Stegostoma tigrinum: one gene and its partners. The protein of the gene in region 1 purifies or fractionates together with the protein of each later gene. This does not show direct contact. Links are inferred from orthologs where the notes say so. Each region holds a gene or a part of one and is shown in the gene's direction. Other genes may lie near its edges. The genes, in order: prpf19, ctnnbl1 and bcas2.

Region 1 (10,580 bases):
AAAAGGACGATTGTATCCATGCTAATCTTCAGCCATGATTAAAATGACCAAGCACTAAGGGTTTATTTCTAGAAGGTTAGAATCGAAGAGTAGGGAAGTTGCTTCAAACTGTATTGAACCTTGGTTAGATCTCGGATTGTGTGCGTAGCTCCAGGCACAATGTTACAAAAAGGGATTGGAAGTCATCAGAGACAGCATGGGTACAACTTGCATGGACGATACCAAAATTAAGAGAGTATACATATTAGGAAAGGATCAACAGCTGGGCTGGACCTCAAGGTCACAGGAAGTGGTTTGAAGAGATGAGTACAGATGCACTGAAGGTGGACCAGTATTACTGGCCCCACGACCAGTACAACTGGACTCCAGAATGGTATGATCGGCCCCCCACGACCAGTACAACTGGACTCCAGAATGGTATGATCGGCCCCCCACGACCAGTACAACTGGACTCCAGAATGGTATGATCGGCCCCCACGACCAGTGCAACTGGACTCCAGAATGGTATGATCGGCCCCCCACGACCAGTACAACTGGACTCCAGAATGGTATGATCGGCCCCCCCCACGACCAGTACAACTGGGCTCCAGAATGGCATCATCGGCTCCCACGACCAGTGCAACTGGACTCCAGAATGGTATGATCGGCCCCCCACGACCAGTACAACTGGACTCCAGAATAGTATGATCAGCCCCACGACCAGTACAACTGGACTCCAGAATGGTACGATCAGCCCCACGACCAGTACAACTGGACTCCAGAATGGTATGATCGGCCCCCACGACCAGTACAACTGGACTCCAGAATGGTATGATCGGCCCCCACGACCAGTACACCTGGATTCCAGAATGGTATGATCGGCCCCCACGACCAGTACAACTGGACTCCAGAATGGTATGATCGGCCCCCCACGACCAGTACAACTGGACTCCAGAATGGTATGATCGGCCCCACGACCAGTACAACTGGACTCCAGAATGGTATGATCGGCCCCCACGACCAGTACAACTGGACTCCAGAATGGTATGATCGGCCCCCACGACCAGTGCAACTGGACTCCAGAATGGTATGATCGGCCCCACGACCAGTACAACTGGACTCCAGAATGGTATGATCGGCCCCCACGATCAGTACAACTGGACTCCAGAATGGTATGATCGGCCCCCCACGACCAGTACAACTGGACTCCAGAATGGTATGATCGGCCCCCACGACCAGTGCAACTGGACTCCAGAATGGTACGATCGGCCCCCCACGACCAGTACAACTGGACTCCAGAATGGTATGATCGGCCCCCCACGACCAGTACAACTGGGCTCCAGAATGGCATGATCGGCTCCCACGACCAGTGCAACTGGGCTCCAGAATGGTATGATCGGCCCCCCACGACCAGTACAACTGGACTCCAGAATAGTATGATCAGCCCCACGACCAGTACAACTGGACTCCAGAATGGTACGATCAGCCCCACGACCAGTACAACTGGACTCCAGAATGGTATGATCGGCCCCCACGACCAGTGCAACTGGACTCCAGAATGGTATGATCAGCCCCACGACCAGTACAACTGGACTCCAGAATGGTATGATCGGCCCCCACGACCAGTACAACTGGACTCCAGAATGGTATGATCGGCCCCCACGACCAGTACAACTGGACTCCAGAATGGTATGATCGGCCCTACGACCAGTGCAACTGGACTCCAGAATGGTATGATCAGCCCCACGACCAGTACAACTGGACTCCAGAATGGTATGATCGGCCCCCCCACGACCAGTACAACTTGGACTCCAGAATGGTATGATCGGCCCCCACGACCAGTACAACTGGACTCCAGAATGGTATGATCGGCCCCACGACCAGTACAACTGGACTCCAGAATGGTATGATCGGCCCCACGACCAGTACAACTGGACTCCAGAATTGTATGATCGGCCCCCACGACCAGTGCAACTTGGATTCCAGAATGGTATGATCGGCCCCCACGACCAGTACAACTGGACTCCAGAATGGTATGATCGGCCCCACGACCAGTACAACTGGACTCCAGAATGGTATGATCGGCCCCACGACCAGTACAACTGGACTCCAGAATGGTATGATCGGCCCCCACGACCAGTACAACTGGACTCCAGAATGGTATGATCGGCCCCCCACGACCAGTACAACTGGACTCCAGAATGGTACGATCAGCCCCACGACCAGTACAACTGGACTCCAGAATGGTATGATCGGCCCCCACGACCAGTACAACTGGACTCCAGAATGGTATGATCGGCCCCACGACCAGTACAACTGGACTCCAGAATGGTATGATCGGCCCCCACGACCAGTACAACTGGACTCCAGAATGGTATGATCGGCCCCCCACGATCAGTACAACTGGACTCCAGAATGGTATGATCGGCCCCCACGACCAGTGCAACTGGACTCCAGAATGGTATGATCGGCCCCCCACGACCAGTACAACTGGACTCCAGAATGGTATGATCGGCCCCCCACGACCAGTACAACTGGGCTCCAGAATGGCATGATCGGCTCCCACGACCAGTGCAACTGGACTCCAGAATGGTATGATCGGCCCCCCACGACCAGTACAACTGGACTCCAGAATAGTATGATCAGCCCCACGACCAGTACAACTGGACTCCAGAATGGTACGATCAGCCCCACGACCAGTACAACTGGACTCCAGAATGGTATGATCGGCCCCCACGACCAGTGCAACTGGACTCCAGAATGGTATGATCAGCCCCACGACCAGTACAACTGGACTCCAGAATGGTATGATCGGCCCCCACGACCAGTACAACTGGACTCCAGAATGGTATGATCGGCCCCCCACGACCAGTGCAACTGGACTCCTGAATGGTATGATCGGCCCCACGACCAGTACAACTGGACTCCAGAATGGTATGATCGGCCCCCCACGACCAGTACAACTGGACTCCAGAATGGTATGATCGGCCCCACGACCAGTACAACTGGACTCCAGAATGGTATGATCGGCCCCCCACGACCAGTACAACTTGGACTCCAGAATGGTATGATCGGCCCCCACGACCAGTACAACTGGACTCCAGAATGGTATGATCGGCCCCACGACCAGTACAACTGGACTCCAGAATGGTATGATCGGCCCCACGACCAGTACAACTTGGACTCCAGAATGGTATGATCGGCCCCCACGACCAGTACAACTGGACTCCAGAATGGTATGATCGGCCCCACGACCAGTACAACTGGGCTCCAGAATGGTATGATCGGCCCCACGACCAGTACAACTGGACTCCAGAATGGTATGATCGGCCCCACGACCAGTACAACTGGGCTCCAGAATGGCATGATCAGCCCCACCACCAGTACAACTGGACTCCAGAATGGTATGATCGGCCCCCACGACCAGTACAACTGGACTCCAGAATGGTATGATCGGCCCCACGACCAGTACAACTGGACTCCAGAATGGTATGATCGGCACCGTGACCAGTATTACTGGTGTTCCAGCCAGTATTATAGCATGGTGGTGCTCAGATACCCTTGATCTCGGTGTCCATGTACACAGATCCTTGAAAGTTGCCACCCAGGTTGACAGGGCTGTTAAGAAGGCATACAGTGTTTTAGCTTTTATTAATAGAGGGATCGAGTTCCGGAACCAACAGGTTATGGTGAAGCTGTACAAAACTCTGGTGCGGCCGCACTTGGAGTATTGTGTATAGTTCTGGTCACCGCATTATAAGAAGGATGTGGAAGCTTTGGAAAGGGTGCAGAGGAGATTTACTAGGATGTTGCCTGGTATGGAGGGAAGGTCTTACGAGGAAAGGCTGAGGGACTTGAGGCTGTTTTCATTAGAGAGAAGAAGGTTGAGAGGTGACTTAATTGAAACATATAAAATAATCAGAGGGTTAGACAGGGTGGATAGGGAGAGCCTTTTTCCTAGGATGGTGACGGCGAGCACGAGGGGGCATAGCTTTAAATTGAGGGGTGAAAGATATAGGACAGGTGTCAGAGGTAGTTTCTTTACTCAGACAGTAGTAAGGGAATGGAACGCTTTGCCTGCAACGGTAGTAGATTCGCCAACTTTAGGTACATTTAAGTCGTCATTGGACAAGCATATGGACGTACATGGAATAGTGTAGGTTAGATGGGCTTCAGATCGGTATGACAGGTCGGCACAACATTGAGGGCCGAAGGGCCTGTACTGCGCTGTAATGTTATACATTCTGTGAATAGTGGTAGTTCCCTATGGGTTTGTAAACAGACTCTGTGCCCAACAGTCACTGCCTGGCATTGGTGAGCTGGCGAATCGAACTCACACTGTTGCATCTCTCCCCGCTCTCAACACGGGGTTGTGGGGGTGGGGGGGTGCGTGGACAGCGTACCTTGCACCCTCACGTCATGTTCGTCAAAGCTTTGCTGGATGATGCGCAAAGTGTGCAGGGGACCCTGAAATTCTGCCATGGGGTCATCGCAGATAAGTCGGGCCAGTGGGCGAGGTTGCAATCGGGAAGTTTCGCTTGGAATAACAGAGAAATGCTCCATCGTTTAAGCAGTGAAGGATTGCAGGGTGTGCTGTGCAGAGGGATCTGGGTGTCCTTGTGCGCGAGTCACAACAAGGAAGCTGGTTTGCAGGTGCAGTGGGTACTTAAGGTGGTAAATGGGGATGCTGTCCATCAGTGCGATAGAGGGATGGCGTTTAAAAGCAGGGAGGTTTATGTTGCAGCTGATCAGGCCACTCCTGGAGGACTGCATCCAGTTTTGGTCTCCTCCCTTGAGAAAGGATGTACTGGCACTGCAGGGGTTTGCAGAGGGGGCTCACCCGGTTGATCCCGGAGTTGGGAGGGTCGGATGACGAGGAGAGACCCCGGGGTCGGGAGGGTCGGATGACGAGGAGAGACCCCGGGGTCGGGAGGGTCGGATGACGAGGAGAGACCCCGGGGTCGGGAGGGTCGGTGACGAGGAGAGACCCCGGGGTCGGGAGGGTCGGTGACGAGGAGAGACCCCGGGGTCGGGAGGGTCGGTGACGAGGAGAGACCCCGGGGTCGGGAGGGTCGGATGACGAGGAGAGACCCCGGGGTCAGGAGGGTCGGATGACGAGGAGAGACCGTGGGGTTGGGAGGGCCGGATGATGGGGAGAGACCCCGGGGTCGGGAGGGTCGGATGACGAGGAGAGACCCCGGGGTCGGGAGGGTCGGATGACGAGGAGAGACCCCGGGGTCGGGAGGGTCGGATGATGGGGAGAGACCCCGGGGTCGGGAGGGTCGGATGATGAGGACAGACCCCGGGGTCGGGAGGGTCGGTGACGAGGAGAGACCGTGGGATTGGGAGGGCCGGATGACGGGGAGAGACCCCGGGGTCGGGAGGGTCGGTGACGAGGAGAGACCCCGGGGTCGGGAGGGTCGGTGACGAGGAGAGACCCCGGGGTCGGGAGGGTCGGTGACGAGGAGAGACCGTGGGGTTGGGAGGGCCGGATGACGAGGAGAGACCGTGGGGTTGGGAGGGCCGGATGACGGGGAGAGACCCCGGGGTCGGGAGGGTCGGAAGACGAGGAGAGGTTGAGCTGTCTGGGTCTATACTCAGCGGAGTTGGGAAGAATGAGGGTAAAACGATGAAGGGAATGGGTAAGGAGGGAGCAGGAGGCTGCTCCCACTGGAAGCTGAGACGAGGAGCCGGGGGGCAGAGTTGAGGAGGACCATCTTCTCCCAATGGGTCAGGAAACCCGTGGGATCCCCTGCACAGTTGAGGGGACCATGTTGAAAGCTTCGATAAGGCAAAGGCAGATGTTTGACCAGTAAAGGGAGTTAGGGTCATGGTGAGGGGTGCGGGTAAGCTGGGCTTTACCCACAGGAAGAGGTTGGCCATGATCTTATGTAATGGTACAGCAGTATTGAGGGGCCGAATGACCTGCTCCTGTGAACTGCCTGTTAGGTCACCACCCCACCGCTAGGGGTCACGCTCTCCCTCCCCCCCCGCCCCAAACCATTCCCACGCAGCCGCAGCTAGGTGATGACGTTCTCTGCAGTCCACCGCACTTTTGTCACCGAGCGTTGAGACGTTTCCTATTGTCCCCGCCCCTTTCCCCCCACTTTTGATGACGTCACTTCCGCACCCCCCCCCCACTCCGCCCAATCCTTGCGGGATGGCTCCTACAGTCTCCGCCCCTTTTCACCCAGCGTGATGACGTTACTACATTCTTCACCCCGGCCTCCCGCCACGGGCGAGATGACGTTCGCTGCATTCTCCACCCCAAAACCCAAGCGTGATGACGCCGGCTCGGCCTGCTGTGTTCATCCAGCCCCACACCTTGTTATCTCGGATTCTCCAGCATCCGCAGTTCCCACTATCTCTCACATTCCCCGTTCCCCAAACGTGATGACGTTCTCCAGTCTCCTCCCCTGCAACTCAACACCGATGACGTCTCCTACCTCCCTCCCGACCCATCATGCGCGTGACGACGTCCCTTCTTCCCCGCCCACCCCACGCGCGTGATGATGTCCCTGTTTCCCCGCCCACCCCACGCGGCGTAATGACGCCACGCTCTGGCCACGCCCCTCCAATGACGTGACCTCTCCTCCCGCCATTTCCCAGTTGCCCCGGGAGCCGCCGCCGCCGCCATCATGTCGCTGCTGTGTTGGAGTAAGTGGGAGCGGGGGCCGGGGGCAGGAAGATACCCCCCTCCCCCGGGAGCGGGGCAGAGAGAGAGAGAGGCCGGGGTGTGGGGGGAGACCGGGAACTCAAGGAGCGGAGTGGGCCTTGCGCCTCATGGACAGTGGGAGCACAGGGCCCGGGCCTGAACTGGGGCCTGGGCCTGAGCCTGAACTTGAACTGGGGCCTGGGCCTGAACTGGGACCTGGGCCTGGGCCTGAACTGGGGCATGGGCCTGGGCCTGAACTGGGGCCTGGGTCTGAACTGGGGCCTGGGCCTGGGCCTTAAATGGGGCCTGGGCCTGGGTCTGAACTGGGGCCTGGGCCTGAACTGGGACCTGGGCCTGGGCCTGAATTGGGGCATGGGCCTGGGCCTGAACTGGGGCCTGGGTCTGGGTCTGAACTGGGGCCTGGGCCTGGGTCTGAACTGGGGCCTGGGCCTGGGACTGAACCTTAGCCTGGGTCTGAGCCTGATCCTGGGCCTGGTGTTGGGAGTTAACAAGGTGTGGGGCTGGATGAACACATCTGAACCTGGGTGTGATGCTGCTTGTCCTGCTGTGTTCATCCAGCCCCACACCTTGTTATCTCACATTCTCCAGCATCTGCAGCTCCTGTTACCCCTCTGCTCCTCTGATGCTGCTTGTCCTGCTGTGTTCATCCAGCCCCACACCTTGTTATCTCACATTCTCCAGCATCTGCAGCTCCTGTTACCCCTCTGCCCCTCTGATGCTGCTTGTCCTGCTGTGTTCATCCAGCCCCACACTGCGTTATCTCACATTCTCCAGCATCTGCAGTTCCTGTTACCCCTCTGCCCCTCTGACGCTGCTTGTCCTGCTGTGTTCATCCAGCCTCACACCTTGTTTTCTCAGATTCTCCAGCATCTGCAGCTCCTGTTACCCCCTTGCTCCTCTGATGCTGCTTGTCCTGTTGTGTTCATCCAGCCCCACACCTTGTTATCTCACATTCTCCAGCATCTGCAGCTCCTGTTACCCCTCTGCTCCTCTGATGCTGCTTGTCCTGCTGTGTTCATCCAGCCCCACACCTTGTTATCTCACATTCTCCAGCATCTGCAGCTCCTGTTACCCCTCTGCTCCTCTGATGCTGCTTGTCCTGCTGTGTTCATCCAGCCCCACACCTTGTTATCTCACATTCTCCAGCATCTGCAGCTCCTGTTACCCCTCTGCCCCTCTGATGCTGCTTGTCCTGCTGTGTTCATCCAGCCCCACACTGCGTTATCTCACATTCTCCAGCATCTGCAGTTCCTGTTACCCCTCTGCCCCTCTGACGCTGCTTGTCCTGCTGTGTTCATCCAGCCTCACACCTTGTTTTCTCAGATTCTCCAGCATCTGCAGCTCCTGTTACCCCCTTGCTCCTCTGATGCTGCTTGTCCTGTTGTGTTCATCCAGCCCCACACCATGTTATCTCACATTCTCCAGCATCTGCAGTTCATGTTACCCCTCTGCCCCTCTGATGCTGCTTGTCCTGCTGTGTTCATCCAGCCCCACACCATGTTATCTCACATTCTCCAGCATCTGCAGCTCCTGTTACCCCTCTGCTCCTCTGATGCTGCTTGTCCTGCTGTGTTCATCCAGCCCCACACCTTGTTATCTCACATTCTCCAGCATCTGCAGCTCCTGTTACCCCTCTGCTCCTCTGATGCTGCTGGGCCTGCTGTGTTCATCCAGCCCCACACCTTGTTATCTCACATTCTCCAGCATCTGCAGCTCCTGTTACCCCTCTGCTGCTCTGATGCTGCTGGGCCTGCTGTGTTCATCCAGCCCCACACCATGTTATCTCACATTCTCCAGCATCTGCAGCTCCTGTTACCCCTCTGCTGCTCTGATGCTGCTTGTCCTGCTGTGTTCATCCAGCCCCACACCTTGTTATCTCACATTCTCCAGCATCTGCAGCTCCTGTTACCCCTCTGCTCCTCTGATGCTGCTTGTCCTGCTGTGTTCATCCAGCCCCACACCATGTTATCTCACATTCTCCAGCATCTGCAGCTCCTGTTACCCCTCTGCTGCTCTGATGCTGCTTGGCCTGCTGTGTTCATCCAGCCCCACACCTTGTTATCTCACATTCTCCAGCATCTGCAGTTCCTGTTACCCCTCTGCCCCTCTGATGCTGCTTGTCCTGCTGTGTTCATCCAGCCCCACACCATGTTATCTCACATTCTCCAGCATCTGCAGCTCCTGTTACCCCTCTGCCCCTCTGATGCTGCTTGTCCTGCTGTGTTCATCCAGCTCCACACCTTGTTATCTCACATTCTCCAGCATCTGCAGCTCCTGTTACCCCTCTGCTCCTCTGATGCTGCTTGTCCTGCTGTGTTCATCCTGCCCCACACCTTGTTATCTCACATTCTCCAGCATCTGCAGCTCCTGTTACCCCTCTGCTCCTCTGATGCTGCTTGTCCTGCTGTGTTCATCCAGCTCCACACCATGTTATCTCACATTCTCCAGCATCTGCAGCTCCTGTTACCCCTCTGCTCCTCTGATGCTGCTTGTCCTGCTGTGTTCATCCAGCCCCACACCTTGTTATCTCACATTCTCCAGCATCTGCAGCTCCTGTTACCCCTCTGCTCCTCTGATGCTGCTTGTCCTGCTGTGTTCATCCAGCTCCACACCATGTTATCTCACATTCTCCAGCATCTGCAGCTCCTGTTACCCCTCTGCTCCTCTGATGCTGCTTGGCCTGATGTGTTCATCCAGCTCCACACCTTGTTATCTCACATTCTCCAGCATCTGCAGTTCCTGTTACCCCTCTGCTCCTCTGATGCTGCTTGGCCTGATGTGTTCATCCAGCTCCACACCTTGTTATCTCACATTCTCCAGCATCTGCAGCTCCTGTTACCCCACTGCTCCTCTGATGCTGCTTGTCCTGCTGTGTCCATCCAGCCCCACACCTTGTTATCTCACATTCTCCAGCATCTGCAGCTCCTGTTGCCCCTCTGCTCCTCTGATGCTGCTTGTCCTGCTGTGTTCATCCAGCCCCACACCGTGTTATCTCACATTCTCCAGCATCTGCAGTTCCTGTTACCCCTCTGCTCCTCTGATGCTGCTTGTCCTGCTGTGTTCATCCAGCCCCACACCTTGTTATCTCACATTCTCCAGCATCTGCAGCTCCTGTTACCCCTCTGCTCCTCTGATGCTGCTGGGCCTGCTGTGTTCATCCAGCCCCACACCATGTTATCTCACATTCTCCAGCATCTGCAGCTCCTGTTACCCCTCTGCCCCTCTGATGCTGCTTGGCCTGCTGTGTTCATCCAGCCCCACACCTTGTTATCTCACATTCTCCAGCATCTGCAGCTCCTGTTACCCCTCTGCTCCTCTGATGCTGCTTGGCCTGCTGTGTTCATCCAGCCCCACACCTTGTTATCTCACATTCTCCAGCATCTGCAGCTCCTGTTGCCCCTCTGCTCCTCTGATGCTGCTTGTCCTGCTGTGTCCATCCAGCTCCACACCTTGTTATCTCACATTCTCCAGCATCTGCAGCTCCTGTTGCCCCTCTGCTCCTCTGATGCTGCTTGTCCTGCTGTGTTCATCCAGCCCCACACCGTGTTATCTCACATTCTCCAGCATCTGCAGTTCCTGTTACCCCTCTGCTCCTCTGATGCTGCTTGTCCTGCTGTGTTCATCCAGCCCCACACCTTGTTATCTCACATTCTCCAGCATCTGCAGCTCCTGTTACCCCGCTGCTCCTCTGATGCTGCTTGTCCTGCTGTGTTCATCCAGCCCCACACCTTGTTATCTCACATTCTCCAGCATCTGCAGTTCCTGTTACCCCTCTGCTCCTCTGATGCTGCTTGTCCTGCTGTGTCCATCCAGCTCCACACCTTGTTATCTCACATTCTCCAGCATCTGCAGCTCCTGTTGCCCCTCTGCTCCTCTGATGCTGCTTGGCCTGCTGTGTTCATCCAGCTCCACACCATGTTGTCTC
Region 2 (10,324 bases), on another chromosome or scaffold:
AGAAAACATTCTATTTACTGACGGGAAGGAAGTTGGTTAGATTTGGAGGAAGACTGGAAATGTCAAGAGATTCTTCAGCTGAATGTTAGATCGGCAATGCATAAATATTCATTGCATTCTCCAGGCGCCTCAGTAAAAGAGTAGGTTCGCAACCTTGATTTAACATCTACTTGGAAAATGTCATAGTGAAATACCATGGCAAGATATTAGACTAACAAGCACATTTCACAAAAGGGAATCCCAAAATTCTCTATAGGCGTTTAAATAGTGAGAGAGTTGTTACAGGAATAATAGGGCTAATTAGAGACCAAAAAGGGGGCATAGCAGAGGTGCTAAATTAATAATTTTCTACCTCCTTTTCCAAAAGAAGATGATGCTGCCTAAGCCATGGTAACAGAAGAGGAAACTTTGTCACTAGAAGGGTTCTAATGAATAAAGAAGTCTTGGATAATCAGCCAGTACTTAAAGTTGACAAGGCACAGGACTGGATGAGAGATAGTAAGAATTGCCAATGCTGGAGTAAGAGATAACACAGTGTGGAGGTAGAAGAGCATAGCAGGCCAGGCAGCATCAGAGGAGCAGGAAAGCTGATGTTTCGGTTCAGGACCCTTCTTTAGAAAACTGGATAAGGTGCATCCAAGGATTTTGAAGGAAGTATTGGTAGATATCAGGGGGAAACTGGCAATCATCTTCAGTCTTCTCTCAACTTGGATGAGGTAGCAGAAGAATGGATAATTGTGAATTTTACATCATTGTTTAAGAAAAGTTGTAAGGATAATCCCAGCAATTATAGGTCAGCCAGTTTAACATCGGTGGTGAAGACGTTGCCAGAAACAATGATTTGGGATGGAATTTGTTATCACGTGAAAAAAGGGGTGTTGATTAGGAAGCATCAACACTAATTTGTAGAGGGGAAATTGTGTTCAACTAACTAAGGGTTAATGAGGGTCATGTTGTTGATGTAATATACATGGATTTGCAGAAGTTATTTTATCCAGTATCGCATGACAAACTTCTGAGGAAAAGTCATGGTATAAAAGGAACAGTAACAATGTGCATACAAAATTGGCAGAGCATTAAGAAATGGAGAATGGTAAATGGGTATATTTTGGGCAGGAAGAATATTTATGGTGAAGCTCCTCAGAGGTCAGTATTGGGGCCCTCATTTTTCCTGACATTATAGAATCCCTACAATGCAGCTAGAGGACTATTGGCCCATTAAGTCTGCATCTACCCTCCAAACAGCATCCTGCCCAGACCCATCACCGCCACTGCAACTGATGACACCTCATGGCTAATGCATCTAGCCTGCATGCTACAGGCCAATTTTACATACTGTGGTAGGAAACCAGAGCACTGGCAGAAACCTACACAGGCTGTCATCCAAGGCTGGAATTGAACTTAGGTCCCTGGCACTGTGAGGAAGCACTGCTAACCACTGTGCCACCATGTCACCCTAACATATTAATGATCTGGATCTTGGTGTGCAGGGGACAATTTCAAAGTTTGCAGGTGACACAAAACTCAGAAAAATTGTAAACCGTGAGGAGGATAGTCTGGAGCTCCAAAAGGACATTAACCAGTTTGATGGAGTGGGTTAATTGGTGGTAGATGAGGTTCAATACAGAGAAGTATATTTTGGTAGGAATATCATTGAAAGATAATGTAAAATTGGGGGTACGATTCTAAAGAGGGTGCAGGAGCAGAGGGACCTCTGTGTATATGTATAAGAATCATTGAAGGACAAGTGGAGAGAGCAGTAATAAAGCATACAGTGCCCTAGCCTTTATTAAAAATAGCACACAGTAAAAGGAGTTGATGTTGAACTTGTACAAGACACTCGTTTAACAGTGTGGGCATTACATTGCAGGAAACATGAGAATACATTGGAAAATATTCAGAAACAATTCACAAGAATGACTCCAGGAATGAGGAATTTTCAGTTATGAAGATAGGCTGAAGAAGTTGAGACTATGCTCTTTGGAGAGAAGAAGGCTGAGAGGAAATTTAATCAAGGTTTTCAAAAAATATGACCAAATTAGAGAGAGTAGATAGAGAGAAGCCATTTCTGTTCATAAAAGGAACACAAACAAGAGGGACAACAAGATGTAGAGCTGGATGAACACAGCAAGCCAAGCAGCATCAGAGGGGCAGGAAAGCTGTCGCTTCTGAAGAAGGGTCGAGGCCCAAAACATCAGCTTTCCTGATCCTCTGATGCTGCTTGGCCTGCTGTGTATATCCAGATCTGCACCTTGTTATCTCAGATTCTACAGCACCTGCAGTTCCTACTATCTCAAGAACAAGAGGGAATAGTTTTAAAGCGATGTACAAAAAAAAGCAAGGGTGATGTGAGAAAAATACTGTTTCACTCAGCAAGTAATTAGGATATGGAAGGCAGTACCTGGAAGTGTGGTGAAGGCAAATTTAGTTGAGACATTCAAGAGAGTGTTGGATGATTGTTTGTATAGAAATGGTGTGCAGTGATATGAGTAAAAGGCAGAAGATTGGCTTGAGGTAATGATGCTCATTTGAAAAGTTAGTGTAGACATGATGGACCAAAGGGCCTCCTTCTGTACCATAACAATTCTATGATTCAGTATTAATGTCAAAAAGAGTTCACAATTGCATCCACAACTTATATTTTACAGATAAAGGCAGTCTGAAGGAGAGGTTATGGTCTCGGTATCCCTGGAACCTGTAAGTTTGCTTGACAGAATTGTCCTCCTTCCTTCAAACCAACAGGGACACTCAGTTGAAAATTCGCTTAACTGATGCAATCAGGGGTGAAATGTCCAGATGGAGCTGAGAACGCTTATCTGTAACAAGCCCTAGCTGTCCTTCTTTGGGGCACGTAATCACATTATCAAGATAATGGGAAAAGACAGGATTACTTAGAACAGGAGGGAAGCTACTAGCGTACAGATGAGTTGGTGTTATTGAATATGCAAGTGTCATGTTGAAGAAACAAGTGAAACAGATCCACATTTTTGCTGTCCTTCCTCCCAAAGCTGATCATATCCAAGAGATGTATCAAAATGGTGCTGAAATTGCAACAGTAATTGGTCAATTTCAGTGATATTGCCCCTATGGGCAGCAGGAACAGAAAACCCATCAAGCACAATTGCATTTCCCCTTTCATCAATAGATAAAGTACAGATCTGATCAAGGTGACGACAATGCTGATGCCCTGAACCACAATTCTATCTCATGAAAGGAAGCCTATCTCTGCCATGTGACAGGGAATTACGAATGATATCATCAAATGTAAAAAATGTCTACTACCATTGAGGAATAGGAATTTTTATATGGAGCCAGATTTTGGTTCTGCTCTATGAAGACAATTGTTTTATATTAAGAGGTCAGAAAGTCATAAGAGGATGCAGTTTCCAAGTAAGCATGTAATTCACATATGTGCCCAGCAGGATATACCTGTGACGTTAATGACTAAAATATTTATACTGCCACATTTACAACGGATGGAGAAAACAGATCAAGCATCATTAGATTAGCATGGTTTCAGTTCAAAACGATCAGAAATTTAGTACACATGACCAAGAGAGGTGAAAATGTGGAAGTCACTGCCACAGGCTGAAGTGACTAATATTATGCAAATAAGGCAAGATTTGATATTCATGAAAGAAAAAAATTGAATTGACAACTATTGGGGAGGAAATGGCCTCGTGGTACTGTCTCTGGATTAACAATCCAGCAATACTGAGATACTGTTCTGAGGACCTGTGTTCAAATCCTGCCACAGCAAATGGTGCAATTTGAATTCAATTAAAACAAAATCTAAACTAAGAATCCTGAGATGAACATGAATCCATTGTCAATTCTTGGGGGAAAAAACCCAGTGATGCCCTCATCCTGTAAATGAATGAAAATAAAACTATAGAGATCAATTAGGGCATGTGATGGCCTAGTAGTATTATTGCTGCATTGTTAATCCAGAGATCCAGCTAATGTTCTGGGGACCTCGGTTTGAATCCTGCCACGGCAGATGATGGAATTTGAATTCAATAAAAATCTGGAATTAAGTCTAATGATCACTATGAATCCATTATCAATTGTTGGGAAAAACCTATCTGGTTCACTAACACCCTTTAGGGAAGGAATCTCCAATCCTTACATTTGTGTTGCCACTTTCGGCAGCTATAGACTTGCAACCCAAGATCCCTCCATATATCAGTGTTCCTAAAGGCCCTGGCATTAACTGTATAATTTTATCTTGCATTTGATCTCCCAAAATGCATCATCTGACACCTTTGGAGTTCTTTCTGATTATTCCTATTATTCTTCTAATATCATCCCCATTACATACCTGATCCCAGTCCTACTTCCTATGCCATCCCTAAACCCCTTTCCATACATCCCATGTATTTCCACTCATGGTGTTCCCATCCCAGATTTCTCTCTTATGCTGTCCTCCACTTTCCACTCAATGCTGTCCCTCATTCCTGGCTGACTGCTTTTGTTCAGTGAGGTTTGTCTGCATCACTCTGTTGCTTTCCAATTATAGAAAGACAATTAGAAAATTTAGATATTTTAAAACTTAATTGTAACATTTAAGTACCCAGGAACCAGCTAAGAAATACACACACTAACAGATGCAAACCTTAAACTGATCAATAAACAGAGTCTTGACAGATGAAGACTGTTAATAACATAGGTTACAACTTTGGTAAAAGGCGAAATGAGGAAGGGTCCCAATCAACTTTCCTGCTCCTCAGATGATGCCTGGCCTGCTGTGTTCCTCCAGCTCCACACTGTGTTATCGCTGACTCCGGCATCTGCAGTTCTTACTATCTCTTATAATGAACTACAATATAGTCCACCTTGTCTTCACCTCCAACCCACTAGTGTTCACTTTCAATGATCATTCTTAATCATTTATGCCACCCATACTGTTACAGCAAACCTTATTCCTCACCTTTCCCCATTCAGGATTCTGACAGAACCGTTGTCTCCTAGGTCTACTGGTCCATCATGCCACATGGCAAAGCAGGCTCTATAGTTCCTCAAGATTAAGGACCCAAAACACAACCTTCAGTTGAAACAGTTCTTATATTTCTTTCAATTTTTAATAAGTGTTCACTGTTTATGAACTAGTTTTCTCTGCTTGGGAAAACTAAACACATATATGTTATAGAGATAGTAGGAACTGCCGCTGCTGGAGAATCTGAGATAACAAGGTATAGAGCTGGATGAACACAGCAGGCCAAGCAGCATCAGAGGAGCAGGAAAGCTGATGTTTCGGGTCTAAACCTTTCTGAAGAAGGGTTCCCACCTGAAACGTCAGCTTTCCTGCTCCTCTGATGCTGCTTGGCTTGCTGTGTTCATCCAGCTCTACACCTTGTTATCTCAGATTCTCCAGCATCTGCAGTTCCTACTATCTCAGTACAAGAAAAGTTCTGCTTTTAAATCTATTTCAGATTTTTATTTGTTTGAAGAGCTCACTAAAATCAATGCTAAATTTCCCTTCGGAAAGACACATCAGTGAAGTTTCATTAGCAAAGAAAGTGTTAAAAACCGTACGATGGTTTTAACCTGAGACTTTCTAAGATCATTCCTGGCTGAACTTGGAGCCTTTACGACAATTGGCGGTCATTTACGACCGTTTGGGACATACGGCAGTGTGGCAGGGACCTGAGCGGTGGGGGGACATTTTAGCTTCTTGCGACAGTGCTGATATGGATGTGGGCGAATTGCTGAACTATCAGGTGAGGCAGCAGCTTCTCCTCCTTCTTTCGGGCCCCCTGTCTACGCTCAGTCAGTCTAAGCCGCTCCATATCCCCACTCCGGCCGGTTCCGAGACAAGCGAGGCCGCAGAGCCTGGCACTCGAGTTGTGGCTGCATCGCCAGTAACTGACAGGGAGCCCTCTTTTTCCTGCCACACGATTTCGAGTTCACGTGGGGCTCCATCGTTGATCAATTTTAGGTTCTATCAGCTCCACAGGTGTGTAATGACGTCTCTGATCAGGTTGATTCAAAAATATCAATAAACCATCTTTCCATAGCCACAATATTACAGTCATCAGCCCCAGCTTAGGAGTTTCACCTTCTAATTGAATCGCTTTAAAATTCCTGATACAGAGAGGTGACATATTTGTCAAACAACAGGCCACTGTGCCTGGCATAGTGATGAGAAGTTATTCCATGATGTTAATTTTCAGTACTATAATGTAGAAATATTAAATACAAAACACATATGGCACATAACATCTTGCCCGTCATAAGATGGAAAACAGAATTGCTGTAGTACTGAAATATAATCTTAGTGTGTGACAGTGAAGTGCGAGAAAGGTTCACGTGAGGGTAAACTTAGAAGGTTAAAAAAAGGGTGAAACAGTGATGCAGGATTGCAGCTTTGATAATGATGACTAGAGTGTGTCAAGTGGAATAGAACACAAATATAGGAGTATACTGGCAAGATGATTTTTTTTGGCTAATGTGAATTCACATGCAAATATAGTTGTGGATATAAATGGTGAAAAGGCAGATTGAAAATTATTTCTCTAAATGTGCACTGAATGGACAAATTAATAATACAAATACAAATGACTGAGTATAATTTGATTGCCATTGTAGAAATGTGGTTGCAAAATGACTGGCTGGAACCTAAATATTTGAGGATGTTCAACACTTTGGAAAGTCAGGAAGGAGGGTGAGGAATTGGATAACTCTTTTAATAAATAATGAAATCAGTGCAGTTGTGAGAATTGATCTTGATTCAGAGGATCAAGATGTAAAATCAGTTTGGATGGAGATAAGAAATGGTGAAAGAAAGAAGTCATTGGGAGTACATAAGGGTTAAACTGAAGGGTGCATTGTAAATCAAGAAGTAATAGAGTTTATAACAGTCACTCAAAATTGGGGAGACTTCACTCTTCATATTAGTTGAAAGCAATAGACAAAAATTGCCTGGGGATGAACATTGTATTTTGAACAGTTTCTTGGGGTTCTTTCTGTAACCAAACAGGAAACATTATTTGAGGCCTGGTATTGTGAACTGTAGGCTTGTAAAACAAATGATGTAGCCACATTACAGGGCAGACATTAATGATGTCCAGCATGCAACAGGAGGGATAAGTGTACAAACGTAGAAAAACATCAGCAAATAGGGTCAAAGGGACAAAAGTGATTAGCAAAACTGATGGTTCCACGCTTGAATGCACATAGTATTTTGAACAAAATAAATGAGTTAATGGCACAAATAGAATTTATTGGGTATGGCCTTGCAGCCACTGTGGAGATATGGTTACAAAGAAGTTAGTATAGGGAACTGTGTATTATGGGATAAATGTCTTTTCAAAAGGAGAGGCAGGAGGGAAAGGGTGGTGGGGTAGCATTGTTGGTATAGGATGGAATAGATGCAAAAGCAAGAAATGATCTTGGATTAGAAAATGTAGAATCCAAATGAGGATGGAGGTAAGAAATATCAAGGAGGAGAAGACATTGACAGGAGTAATATTTTGGCCTCTTAACAGTAGCAATATAACAGGACTGAGAATAAATCAGGAGCTAATGACTATGTAAAAAAGGTAGTATATCAATCATAGAATCCCCAATGAGGCCATTTGGCCCATTAAGTCGGCACTAACTCTCCATAGTGTCCCATAGACCGCTTCCCTGCATTCGTCATAGCTAAACTACCTAGGCTACACGTCCTTGAAGACTATAGACAATTTAGCACCCATCCATATCTTTGGACTGCGGGAGGAAACTGGAGCACCCAGTGGAAAACCACGCAGACACGTGGAAAATGTGTGGAGTTTGCACAGTCACCTGAGGCTGAAATCAAATCCGGGTTCCTGGTGCTGTGAGGCAGCACTGATAACCACTGATCCACCATGCCACTCTGGGTGAATTTAATCTGCATGTGGGTTGCAATGTTAGATTTGCAGAGGTAACCAGGAGGAAGAATTCAGAGCATATTTGGACAGTTTCCCTGAACAATATGTTGCGGGTCTAACTAGGGATCAGGCTGTTTTAGATTTGATGTATAATGACAGGTTTATTAAATTATCTCAGAGTAAAGGATCTCCTAGAAAACAGTAACCATACATGGTAGAATTTAGAATTTAATTTGAAAGGGAGAACTTGGGTCAGAAACAGCTATGTTAAATCTAAGGGTAATTACAAAGAAATAAGGGCAGAATCAGTTGTTGTGGACTAGAAAAGAAGTTTAGCAGAGAAAACCTGAGTATACTTTTAAGAATATAGTTCATCAGTTGAAAAACACATTGCAGTGATAAAGGAGGGTTCCAGGAAGGGAATTAGCCAAGCGTAGGGGTTTTAAGGATAGCATCAGATTGAAAGCAGAAATATAATATGGCAAAGATTAGTGGTAGGCCAGAGATTTGGGAAAGTTTAGAAAACTGCAAGAAGTGACCAACATAAAAATGAGGGATTAAATAAACCTGAAAGCTAACTTGCAAGAAGTATTAAACTTGACATCAAGTTTATTTTTAATATACTAAAAGGAAGAGAAAGGCCAAAGTGAGCACAGCTCCCTAAGTGGAAGAGGCTGGGGAAGTAATACTAATGTGGAACTGGGACATGGTAGAGGAGTTGAATAAATACTTTGCACCAATCTTCACCGTAGAAGACACTAATAATGTTCCAAAAATACTGAATGATCAAGGAGAAAAAGGGGGAAATGAAATAAATCCAATAACCATCACGAAAGAAAATGTACTAAGGAAGCTAACAGCCAGAAAGTTGTCAAGACCTGATGGAGAGCATCTTCGGATATTTATTAAAGTAGCTATTAAAGATAGAGGATGCACAACTGGTAATCTTCCAAAAATCCTTATATTCTGGAAGAGTGATTAGAAAAGTTGCGAACGTAACGCCTTTATTCAAAAAGGAAGGAAGACATAAAAATAGTCTATTGGCAAGTTAGCTTAACATCTGTTATTTGGAATATATTAGTTTATTATAAAGTGTCAACGTGGTTTCATGAAGGGGCAGCCATGCCTGAGAAATTTACTATAGTTCTTTGAGAACCCTAACCCTATTGCAGGATAAATAAAGGGAAAGCAGTGGATGTAATATACTTGGATTTCGACAAGGCATTTCATAATGTACCTTACATTAGGCTACTTCTTAAGATAAGAGCACATCATGTTTGGAGGAATATATTAGTAAGGACAAAGGATTGGCTAGCTAATAAAAGACAGACGTTGGGATACTGGGGATGTTTTCATGATGCTCGCCTGTGACTAGCGCAGTGTCACAGGGATCAGTGCCTGAGTTACAGTTATTGACAAAATGCAATAATCATTTCGATGAGGGAAATGAATGCACTATAGCCAAGTTTGCAGATGACACAAGGTAGGAAGGCAAGTAGTTAAGGTGACACAAGAAGTCAACAAACGAATATAAAAGGTTAAGTCAGTGGACCAAAACTTTGTGATTGGAATATGATGTGAAGCTATGGATTTTGGCAGGAAGAATAGAGGAGCTGAATATTATTTACTTCGATAACAACTGCAGAAAGCTACAGTGCAGAGGTATTTGCAAGTTCTGTTTATAAATCACAAAAAGCAGGGGTAGGCGTGTTGATTGGCAGGAACAGTCAGTTAAGATAAGAAAATGAGATGCTTAAAAAAACAGTGTATGTACTGTGGGAATGTGTTGGCTTGCAGTGTCCTTACAAGACTTTGAATTCATTAGAGTGAAGAGGTGGATGTGATGTAGTGGTAATCTCACTGGACTAGTAATCCAGAAATTTGGGCTGATGTTCTGGCGACATGGGTTCACATTCCACCTTGAATTCAGTTTTCAACCAGTAAGCTTCATAGAGTCACGGAGGAGAGAGCCCGTTCTGAGTGAGACACGGTTTTCTGAAGATGGAATCGAACCTGGATCCTTGACCCTGTGGGGCGGCTATGCTAATCACTGAGCCACTATGCAACCCAGCGGCAAGGGGAGTGGAGTATAAGCAAGGACAAATCTTACTCAAACCATACAAGACACTAGTTAGATCACACCTGGAATGCTGTGAATAATTTTGGTCCCCTGAACTAAGACAAGATATACTAGTATTGGAGGCTGTCCAGAGCAAGTTAACTGGTCTCATCCTGGTATGGGGAGATTGTCTTAGGAGAATTTGAATTGTTTAGGTCTGTACTCAGTGTAGTTTAGAAGAAACAGAGGCTATCATAATGAAAAGTATATGTTCCTCAGGGGCTTGACAGGGTAGATCAGGAGTTTTTTCCATTTTGAAAAGCCTAGGAGCAGAAGGCATAATCTGAGTAAGTGGTCACTCAGCTTATATAAAGATGAGGGAGAATTTCTTCTCAGTGGAATTCTTGAGCAT
Region 3 (10,141 bases), on another chromosome or scaffold:
TGCTTTCTCCCTATACCCCTTGATGCCTTTAAAATCTCAAAATTTATTGACCTCTTCCTTGAATATATTCAGTGATTTGACTTCTACAGCACTCTGTGGTTGAGAATTCCACAGGTTCACCACCCTCTGAGCAAAGGAATTGTTTCCCTCAACTGATATCTGATTTCCCCTCTTGTTTTAGTGGTGACCAGCTCTTCGGTTTACTGTGGGATTAGAGAGATTACTGTCCTAGAATGGTCTCCACGGCACCAGCTGTTGAGGATGTACAGTTGCTTAAGAATAATAACCTGTGACTTTTATCTCTTGTTCCAGGCCTTTACCTAGAATATCTACTGAAACTAACAAGTGGAAAAGCCTCCAGTCCTAACCCAGTATTGAAGGTTTTTCATTCTAATCCAAGATTTGCACCTGGGAATATCCCAATTTTGGGAAAAGGGGCCCTGTTTGAAATGCATGCTGTAGGTCCCAAGACCAGAAAGGACGGAGCTTTTCAAATACTAAGCTATATCTAACTCAACTCAATGGAGACATCGATCAGCTCATCACTGTACTGAATTGGTTAGGGAGGCAATGATATCCACTGGTCTGATGCAATTAAAGAAGTGCCAGAGCCCATTGGAAGGCATTTCACAAATCATTTAATATTTGAGTTCAGGAGTTCATTGTTCTGCAATACCAGCTAGACTATGGGGTCCACCTGGCTGACCTCAATACAATCACTACATCCCGTCCCCTCTGATTTCAAGGACATAGGCCAGTCCTGGGGAACTTCAGCACCGGGTCATGTACCTCTGATTCTGTCCCTTATACAGGCAGGGTGTAAGGGACAGTAGCTCACATCTTTTGCATGGAGCATCTCAGAAGAAATTCATCCTCCTCTTCAGACGGCAAAGACTTTGAAGCGGTGACATCGGCCGCATCCATCTCAGATTCCCAGGCATCTTCAATGCTTGACAGAGATGGGGGATCCAAAGGTTCTGACTATTCTGAGGAGCGAGGCACATTTTGCGAGTTTGCAGCTTTCATATGGTCCACTTGCTTGTTCAGGACTGACATACCTACCCAAACTTTACATGTCACTGAATCTGACCTCACATTGACCATGTGTCTTACCCATGCAGGGCCATTCCCATGGTTGCTACACCAAACTTTGATCCCTGATGTAAACTGTCTCTCTTGCTTACAGGAGTCTTGTGCCCAACATTGAGATTTCTGATGCCGTTTCATCCTTCTCATCCTTCCCAAGATCAGATTTAACCTGGTGCAGAGTCTTCTCCCCATTCTACTGGAACAATCCTGATAGTTGCATGAGGAGTAGTCCTAAATTTATATAGGAACCAGGACCACATCAACACAGCATGGAGCTTGAGGAGTACAGCAGGTCAGACAGCATCAGTGGAACAAGGAAGTCGATGTTTTGGGTTTACACCCTTCACCAGGAATGGGGAAAGGAGCTCGGAAATAAATAGGGAGGTGGGGCCGGTGGAACGTAGGTGGGATGGTGGGAGGTGGATGCAGGTAGGGAATTGTGGAGATTGGTCAGTGGGAAGAGTGGGGCGGACAGATGGAAAGAAGATGGACAAGTTGTGTCTGGTCAGGGAGGCAGGGATGAGATGGAGGGTTGGACATGGGGTGAGGCCGGGGGTGAGGAGATTTTGAAACTGGTGATTTCTATGTAGAGGCCATCAGATTGTAGCCTCCTGAGGCAGAATGTGAGGTGCTGTTCCTTCAGCTTGCATGTGGCACCTTTGTGACACTGAAGGAGGCCCAGGATGGACATGTCACCCAGAGAGTGGGAGAGGGAGTTAAAATGGTTGGAAACTGGGAGGTGCTGTTGCTTAGAGCATACAGAGCACAGATGCTCCTTGAATCAGTCACCGAGTCTGCGTTGGTCTCATTGATGTAGAGGAGGCTATATCAGGAACAACGGATACAGTAGACCAGGTTGGAGGATGCACAGGTGAATCCCAGTCAAAATTGACAAGATTGTTTGGGACCTTGGACAGACGTGAGACGGAACGTGTAAGGGCAGGTGTAGCAGCTCCTGCTGTTGCTGGGAACGGTGCCATGTGTGGTGATGTTAGTGGGGAGTATGGAGTGGACGAAGCAGTCGTGGAGTGAGCAGTCCCTAAAAAAGGCAGATAGGGGTGGGGAGGGAAGTATCACTTTGGTGAGGGGGGTCAGATTGTTGGTGTCAGAAATGGCGAAGGATAATGCGATGGATGCGGAAGTCCGCACACTGGCTGCAAATACAATGGCTTGTGTGCCAGGATCACCAAAAAAGCTGTGTGTCCACAAGCTGTAAGGAGAATTACTAATTGCTTTTCGCCTGCCACAATGTCACTTGGCCAGAAAAAAAAAATGCATTCTTTCCACATACTGGGCCCAGTCTTCAATAGCAGGATTGAATAAGTCAAGCTTTGCCAATAGCAGCATGATGCTGCAAATGCTTACTCTCACTCAGAAATGACTGTTGGGAGTGAATTTCTTCAGGAGTGTGCTTTAATCTCATTACCAGTGAATTAACTTCACATAGACTGATATCCCATCAGCAAGTCACCGCTTATTTACACATGGAGAGTCTTTGACACTGATCCAACTGCCTCAGAGCCAACTCTCAGATTGAACAGGATGTCTGGCACTCCTGCTTTTGTCTGTCAGGCAGGACCTTCGCCATTCGGCCAGATGAACAGCCCCAATCAGGGAACTCATATTTTATAAGGCCCATCTGGCTGCCGTCATGACAATCAATACAGAAAGGAAGGAAGGAACATGAGGCACAGAGGTCTGCAAGATTGATAAATCAGAGCGGTTTCTCTCTCTCTCTTTCTTTCTCAACAATAAGGAGCAAAGGAAGTTACATAACCTAAAGAACAGGAGTACTATGACCAGAAAAGACACAACTTGACTGCAGAATACTCAATCCATTGCTATGTTACTCTACCTCTCCCAACCAAATCTTAGGTAACTTTGGGAGTTTAACAATTATGAGTCAGGGAACTTGAGGGAGCATGTTCTGTTTTGTTACTTGTCATATAAGAATGTTTAGCATCAGTTGTGCCAATTGCAATGTGTTGTACATATTAAATGTACTCATAATTCAAAATCTGAAAAATATATTGATTTCATTATTTACCATTCTTCAGTGTGATTCCTAAGGAAGCCCAGTCCATCACAGTAAATAAGTAAGTTTGGTTGTGAACAGAATTGCCCTCACACGAACAGAAACACCTGAGTATTGGCCAGCTAACTGCCTGACCTTGTTATGACCAGAAGCTATAACCTTCAAGAGCAGCATTTATATTTGCAACTTTCACAATGGCGCTTCTTGCTATTAAACGCATATATTTAGGAGCAGATCATTAAGTAGGCCTTGAGGCTGTTATCCATCACCAAGTGACCTTTATTTACAGTCTTTGGCTATGGTCCCGCCTCATACAGATTCAGGCACCAGACTGTCAGTATCTCTGACACTCACCCTTCTTTATCTGTCTGCCAGGGCTCCCTTATTGGACCAGATTAACAGCCTCAACCAGGGAGCTCATATTCTGAGATCCAGCTGAATAATCTCATTCCAATTACCACAGGCCTATTCCAATTTCTGCTTATCAAACCAGGTCAGTATCTCAATTTCATTGTTCCATACCCATTGATACCTTACCGAGCAAAGTTTGATCAGCTTCAATTTTGACACTTCCAATTGACTCCCAGCTTCAACTACATTTTGGAGAAACACCACTGTTATACTCCATGAAAGGCCCAGCTCTAATTTCAAATTAAGGTTACAAGCCTTGTTTTGGCTCATGTGGTGTGGTTGGGTAGAGTAGCTATGAATTGGGAGGCAACACATTAGAATTTAGTGTTTGCAGAATTTAATGTTTGTAAAATGCTAGGGGACAAAGCATTGGGTGGTCTTTTAATAGGTTGTGCTTTTTCTATGCTTAGAGATGTCTGTGAGCAGCTTGAAACCTTGCAAGAACAGAGAACGCCTGAATTGAAACATTTGCGTCACAAAGCTGTACCGTCAGCAGGCCAAGCAGCATTTTTACCAAGGAAGCAGATTTTTGAATTTAGCCAATCAATTTGAACTTGGTACTTAGATATCAAAAACCTATTAAATTTGAATCTGACGGCCTTGACAATCTAGGACCATTCCAGTTGTAAGAAATTGATAAGTCATAGGTGTATACAAGAAGGTAGCAGTTGGAAAATTGGCAGAGCTAACCGCTATCTGCTAGAGATAACAGCTCTCAGCTCTTAGAGAAACACCATCTATTCACAACGGTACCATGGCACTCCTAGCTAAGGTTCCTGACAGAAGAATCAATGGAGAACACACAGAACATTCTGGAAGGCATAAACTGGTTGTAATTTTGTGAGACTAAATTCAATTGATTTGTCATATAAATGGGTCTTATATTTATTGGAACAGCATACCATTAAAATCTTGCTTTATTTAGGAATAGTTAGCTGTCAGAAGGGATTTGTTCAGTTTGTTAATACTTTAGTTAATTTATTCAGTATTAGTTAGATAAATGAATTGTTGATTGTAAAATGAATGTCAGGGATACTTGAGTTAACCATTATAAACTTCTGAAAGACAGGTTACACCCTTAACAGATTATAGGCTGAGGTGGTCCTCTTTAGGTGTTTTGGTTTTTGTTCTCATGGTGGGGGGAGGGGGGGGGGTCAACCTATGCTTTACAACACTTGATATTGACATTATGCCAAGCAGCAACTTTAAAAACAGAGTAATTGGGTCAAAAACAGATAAAATTATCACTTTGGCCACCTATGCATGCATAAACTGGCTAGAGGGTCTTCAGTTATTGCTGACAAATGCCACTGCTCATGCGTGGTCAATCACATACACAAATGATGTAAAATTATGGATAATGATGGGATTGTGTAGTGGGAGGGGCTTAGATTAGTTCACAGGTCGGCGCAACATCGAGGGCCGAAGGGCCTGTTTTACGCGATATTGTTCTACGTTCCATGTTCTATGTGGGAATACATGGTTAAATAGGAAATTTTGTTGTGCCGTGCTTGAGGTGTGCATTTAATTCTGAAGTGGTGGCGGGTTTGGTAGGTGCTGTCCAAGGAGCCTTGGTGAATTTCTGCAATGCATGTTATAGATAAACAGCATTAACTTTTGTAGTAATAAGGTGTAGAGCTGATCAACACAGCAGGCCAAGCAGCATCAGAGGAACAGGAAAGCTAACTTTTCGGGCTGGGACACTTCTTCGGAAAACTTTGGTACAGTGATTGGTGATAATGGGAACTGCAGATGCTGGAGAATCCAAGATAATAAAATGTGAGACTGGATGAACACAGCAGGCCCAGCAGCATCTCAGGAGCACAAAAGCTGACGTTTCGGGCCTAGACCCTCTGATGAAGGGTCTAGGCCCGAAACGTCAGCTTTTGTGCTCCTGAGATGCTGCTGGGCCTGCTGTGTTCATCCAGCCTCACATTTTATTACTTTGGTACAGTGATTATTGTTTTCAGGTTCATATTGAGGGAGCTGCTGGTCAGGGTGGCCAACGAAGAGTGATCTAAGGAGGACACCCCAATTGCACCCTGCCAACACTTCACCCAGTGAGGGATATAGCTGCAAGTTGATACAAAGCGCGCATGCTCCGAAGGGACGGCAGCATTCAGCGCGCAGGCGCAGGCAGACCTTCAGCGGTGGGATTCTGGACGCGCTTCTGGATGGGGGTTACCAGGCGCGCAGGCGCGGTGAGCTGAGGGCGCTCAAGATGGCGGGGCCGCTGGCGGTGGCCGGCGATGTGGTGGTGGACGCGTTGCCGTATTTTGATCAGGGTTACGATGCGCCGGGGGTCCGAGAGGCGGTGAGTGCCTGGGTCGGGGCGAATACGTCTGGTCAGCCGGGGGACTGTGATCATTCTGATCGACAGCGGCAATGAAATGTCCTTTCGTGGGCCTCGGGGCTGTAGCCTCCACCAACAGCTGCTATTGAACACGGCATCCCCATTGTCTCCCTACCCACATCCCCCTCCCTTGTTCTTCCTTCACCCCCACCCCCACCTTGCCCCCATTCCCCACCCCCACCTTGCCCCCATTCCCCACCCCCACCTTGCCCCCATTCCCCACCCCCACCTTGCCCCCATTCCCCACCCCCACCTTGCCCCCACCTACACCCCTGCCTCCACCTTGCACCCCTCTGCCACCCCAACCTTGTCCCCATCTCCCCCCCCCTGCCCCCATCTCCCCCCCCCTGCCCCCATCTCCCCCCCCCTGCCCCCATCTCCCCCCCCCCGCCCCCATCTCCCCCCCCCCGCCCCCATCTCCCCCCCCCCGCCCCCATCTCCCCCCCCCCGCCCCCATCTCCCCCCCCCCGCCCCCATCTCCCCCCCCCCGCCCCCATCTCCCCCCCCCCGCCCCCATCTCCCCCCCCCCGCCCCCATCTCCCCCCCCCCGCCCCCATCTCCCCCCCCCCGCCCCCATCTCCCCCCCCCCCGCCCCCATCTCCCCCCCCCGCCCCCATCTCTCCCCCCCCCCGCCCCCATCTCTCCCCCCCCCCGCCCCCATCTCTCCCCCCCCGCCCCCATCTCTCCCCCCCCGCCCCCATCTCTCCCCCCCCGCCCCCATCTCTCCCCCCCCGCCCCCATCTCTCCCCCCCCGCCCCCATCTCTCCCCCCCCCGCCCCCATCTCTCCCCCCCCCGCCCCCATCTCTCCCCCCCCCGCCCCCATCTCTCCCCCCCCCGCCCCCATCTCTCCCCCCCCCGCCCCCATCTCTCCCCCCCCCGCCCCCATCTCTCCCCCCCCCGCCCCCATCTCTCCCCCCCCCGCCCCCATCTCTCCCCCCCCGCCCCCATCTCTCCCCCCCCGCCCCCATCTCTCCCCCCCCGCCCCCATCTCTCCCCCCCCCGCCCCCATCTCTCCCCCCCCCGCCCCCATCTCTCCCCCCCCCGCCCCCATCTCTCCCCCCCCCGCCCCCATCTCTCCCCCCCCCGCCCCCATCTCTCCCCCCCCGCCCCCATCTCTCCCCCCCCGCCCCCATCTCTCCCCCCCCCGCCCCCATCTCTCCCCCCCCCGCCCCCATCTCTCCCCCCCCCGCCCCCATCTCTCCCCCCCCCGCCCCCATCTCTCCCCCCCCCGCCCCCATCTCTCCCCCCCCGCCCCCATCTCTCCCGCCCCCATCCCCCCCCCCCCGCCCCCATCCCCCCCCTCCCCCCATCCCCCCCCGCCCCCATCCCCCTACTCCCTTCGCTCCCCATCTCTCCTCCATTTTCTCTCTCAATTTTTGGTCACCTTTTCCTGATTTCTTAAGTGCTGGTAGTTGTCAGAATTACTGTTATTTGCAAGATGCTTTTTATTTTCGTTGGCTGTGTTGAGTTGTTTCTTTAATTGATTCCAACTATTTGTTTACTACTGTGCATATCAGTCTTTTCACCTAATCGATCTTTGCCAACTTGTTCCTAATAGAACATAGAACATTACAGTGCGGTACAGGCCCTTTAGCCCTCAATGTTGTGCCACCCTGTGAAACCAATCTGAAGCCCATTCCACTTACACTATTCCATTATCATCCATATGTTTATCCAATGACCATTTAAATGCCCTTAAAGTTGCGAGTCTACTCCTGTTACAGGCAGGGCATTCCACACACTTACTACTCTGAGCAGAGAACCTACCTCTGACATCTGTCCCATGTCTATCACCCTTCAATTTAAACGTTTGTCCCCTCGTGCCAGCTATCACCATCCCAGGAAAAAGGCTGTCACTGTCCGCCCTGTCAGATCCTCTCATCATCTTGCATGTCTCTATTAAAGTTGCCTGTTAAACTTCTCTCTAACGAAAACAGCCTCGAGTCCCTCAGCCTTTCTACATTAGACCTTCCCTTCATGCCAGGCAACATCTTGGTAAATCTCCTCTGCGCCCTTTCCAATGCTTCCACATCCTTCGTACAATGGGGCGACCAGAACTGTACGCAATACTCCAAGTGCAGCCGCACCAGACTCTTGTATAGCTGCAATATGATCTCATGGCTTTGAAACTCCTTTTGTAATTGGCTTTATTTTTTAAATTTAATTCTTAATTGCAATCTAAGTATGTTGCTTTCAAGCCAAGTATGTGATTCAGTTGTGTTATGATTACTGTTTCCCACCTGATCTTTTACTTTGAGATTATTAATTAACCTTACCCCACTGAACGAAGACTCTCATGATACCCCTGAAAGGTTCACATTCCATGTGTGGAAAGTTCTGCACATACTTAATGAAATGCTTTCTTGGTAAAACACGTGGTGCCCAAATAAGCACAATGAATAAAAGCAAACGTGCGTAATGATATTAGCAGTACTGGCAGTGTTATTGCCCATGCACATCTTGGGGGTGCCGGCAGACATTCTGTTGCAGAATATTAGATATAAAGTAACTTTTACGTTGTGGAATAACACCATAGGTTTTGTTTCAGGAAGCCAACATGAAAACATTCTAGAAATTCATCTTCCTCAACTGCTTTTGACAACTTGATATTAGTTCGGTATATATCCCACCAATTTTTATATTGCTTTTATTGCAGTTTCTAATAGTTCCTTATTTAATTCTTTGCCTCATTTTTGTAACCAAGTCATGGATAAGCAATGACACAAAATGGTCTCTAGTTTCAGCGTGCCCTGTTCTAGTGCAGTGGCAGTGTCCAGACCATTAGACCATGAGGCCCAGGTTTAAGTCCCTCCTGCTGTAGAGGTGTGTAATAACATATCCAAACAGGTTGATTTGAAAAAATAAGTTTCTACAGTTAAGGAGCCAATAATGTACTGCCACAGGTGACTTCTGGCACTTACTAATCCTAATTTCCACCTATACTGGTTCTGCTTCCAGATTTTTGAGCTATGTTTCTTTCTCACTACCAGCCTTATGTCTTCTAATAATGGTTGTCTATTGCATTGCATTGCTAAAAATTTTGTCCATCAGTTATGTAAATCTAATTTCTTTGTCTCGAATAGAGGTACCATTGTGGTATATTTTAGCTTTTGTATTTCTAGCTTTTTGCCTTTTTCAGTAGATATGATTGGGCTTGAAATTGCCTCGATTTTTAAGTTTGACTTTAGCTCTTTTAAAACCTGTGTCCTAAAAGCTTGTTGTTTTCCTCCTCTTCCTGTATCAATTATTTTTCAGTTCACTAACTTTCTAGAACTCTCATATTGCCGAGGACATGAATGCTGCTCTTATTTATATAGTGACTCTTATTCAACAAAGAAAGCTTAGTAAATAGTGATTCCTTTATTTCTATTTGCCAACATCCCAATGCTAGTGTTGTATTTCTACTTTTTCCACCTTCTGTCGATCATCATTGATCCTTTTATATCAAGTGTCATACTTAAACTTCCAGTGCTGTGCCTTATACATGCTGCTTTCTCCCTGCAGCCTTGCTGTCCAGAAATTGAATCACATTTGTCTTCAACTCAGAATTGTCTTTTGCAATGTTAAAAACTGAAATTCATTCAGTGTCACAGTCTGCCCTTTCCCCAAAATCCAGACTTTGTATAATCTGATCAAAACATCTTAATTTTCTTTGCTTTCTTTATTGGGAAACAGAGGACAAGATAAGCGTCTTCTAGGTGCATGTGATGTGGAATTGGTGTCTTGTTGAGACTTGTGCTGGAGTTTCTTTTCCACTTATATAATTTACATGTCTCCAGAAAACAATATCAAGGCTTGGTTTCAATAACAATTAGATGGCATTGCACATAGATGGCATCGCAAGCAGAGAAATTGGGAAAATGCTGGAGACTGTAGATGGATTAATGGAAAATTTTAATTCAGCAAGCGGCAGTAGCATGAGGAGAAGCTATGAGTAAATCTCAAAGCCTACAAGATTGAAATCTGTGAAACCAGCTAATAAGGAAGTAAAGTGCTAATGGGACTGAGTTTTCTGCACTGCAAGTATGGAGTCAGCAAGTTTGCTGTTTAGCACCTGTGGGGGACACTGTTTTGACAGTAATATTGTCTTTCTCCGGGTTAGATCAGTAAAGAGTTTTAGAAACTGAAGAATGAAAAAAAGTGATCTCAGCTACAGCAGTGTTCTCAACATTCACAATTTCTTTGATTTATCCACTTTTGCAATATTGTTTTCATGTACGCAATTCTCATTAAAAAAGATGGTGTTTGCAAA

What was found.
Region 2: the proteins of prpf19 (region 1) and ctnnbl1 purify together in Homo sapiens (affinity purification with mass spectrometry; 4 studies listed by BioGRID and IntAct, counting the BioPlex papers as one, with this or other methods). This does not show direct contact. The link is inferred for Stegostoma tigrinum from reciprocal best matches to the Homo sapiens genes PRPF19 and CTNNBL1.
Region 3: the proteins of prpf19 (region 1) and bcas2 purify together in Homo sapiens (co-immunoprecipitation; 10 studies listed by BioGRID and IntAct, counting the BioPlex papers as one, with this or other methods). This does not show direct contact. The link is inferred for Stegostoma tigrinum from reciprocal best matches to the Homo sapiens genes PRPF19 and BCAS2.

Annotation. Positions count from the first base shown.
Region 1 is NC_081399.1:7,395,485-7,406,064, reverse strand, and holds the start of prpf19 (pre-mRNA-processing factor 19), read left to right. Parts: upstream 1-6,564; 5' UTR 6,565-6,617; coding exon 6,618-6,636; intron 6,637-10,580. UniProt on the Homo sapiens protein: Ubiquitin-protein ligase which is a core component of several complexes mainly involved pre-mRNA splicing and DNA repair. Required for pre-mRNA splicing as component of the spliceosome.
Region 2 is NC_081372.1:47,968,696-47,979,019, reverse strand, and holds the start of ctnnbl1 (beta-catenin-like protein 1), read left to right. Parts: upstream 1-5,617; 5' UTR 5,618-5,690; coding exon 5,691-5,720; intron 5,721-10,324. UniProt on the Homo sapiens protein: Component of the PRP19-CDC5L complex that forms an integral part of the spliceosome and is required for activating pre-mRNA splicing.
Region 3 is NC_081374.1:41,694,762-41,704,902, reverse strand, and holds the start of bcas2 (pre-mRNA-splicing factor SPF27), read left to right. Parts: upstream 1-5,712; 5' UTR 5,713-5,756; coding exon 5,757-5,849; intron 5,850-10,141. UniProt on the Homo sapiens protein: Required for pre-mRNA splicing as component of the activated spliceosome. Component of the PRP19-CDC5L complex that forms an integral part of the spliceosome and is required for activating pre-mRNA splicing.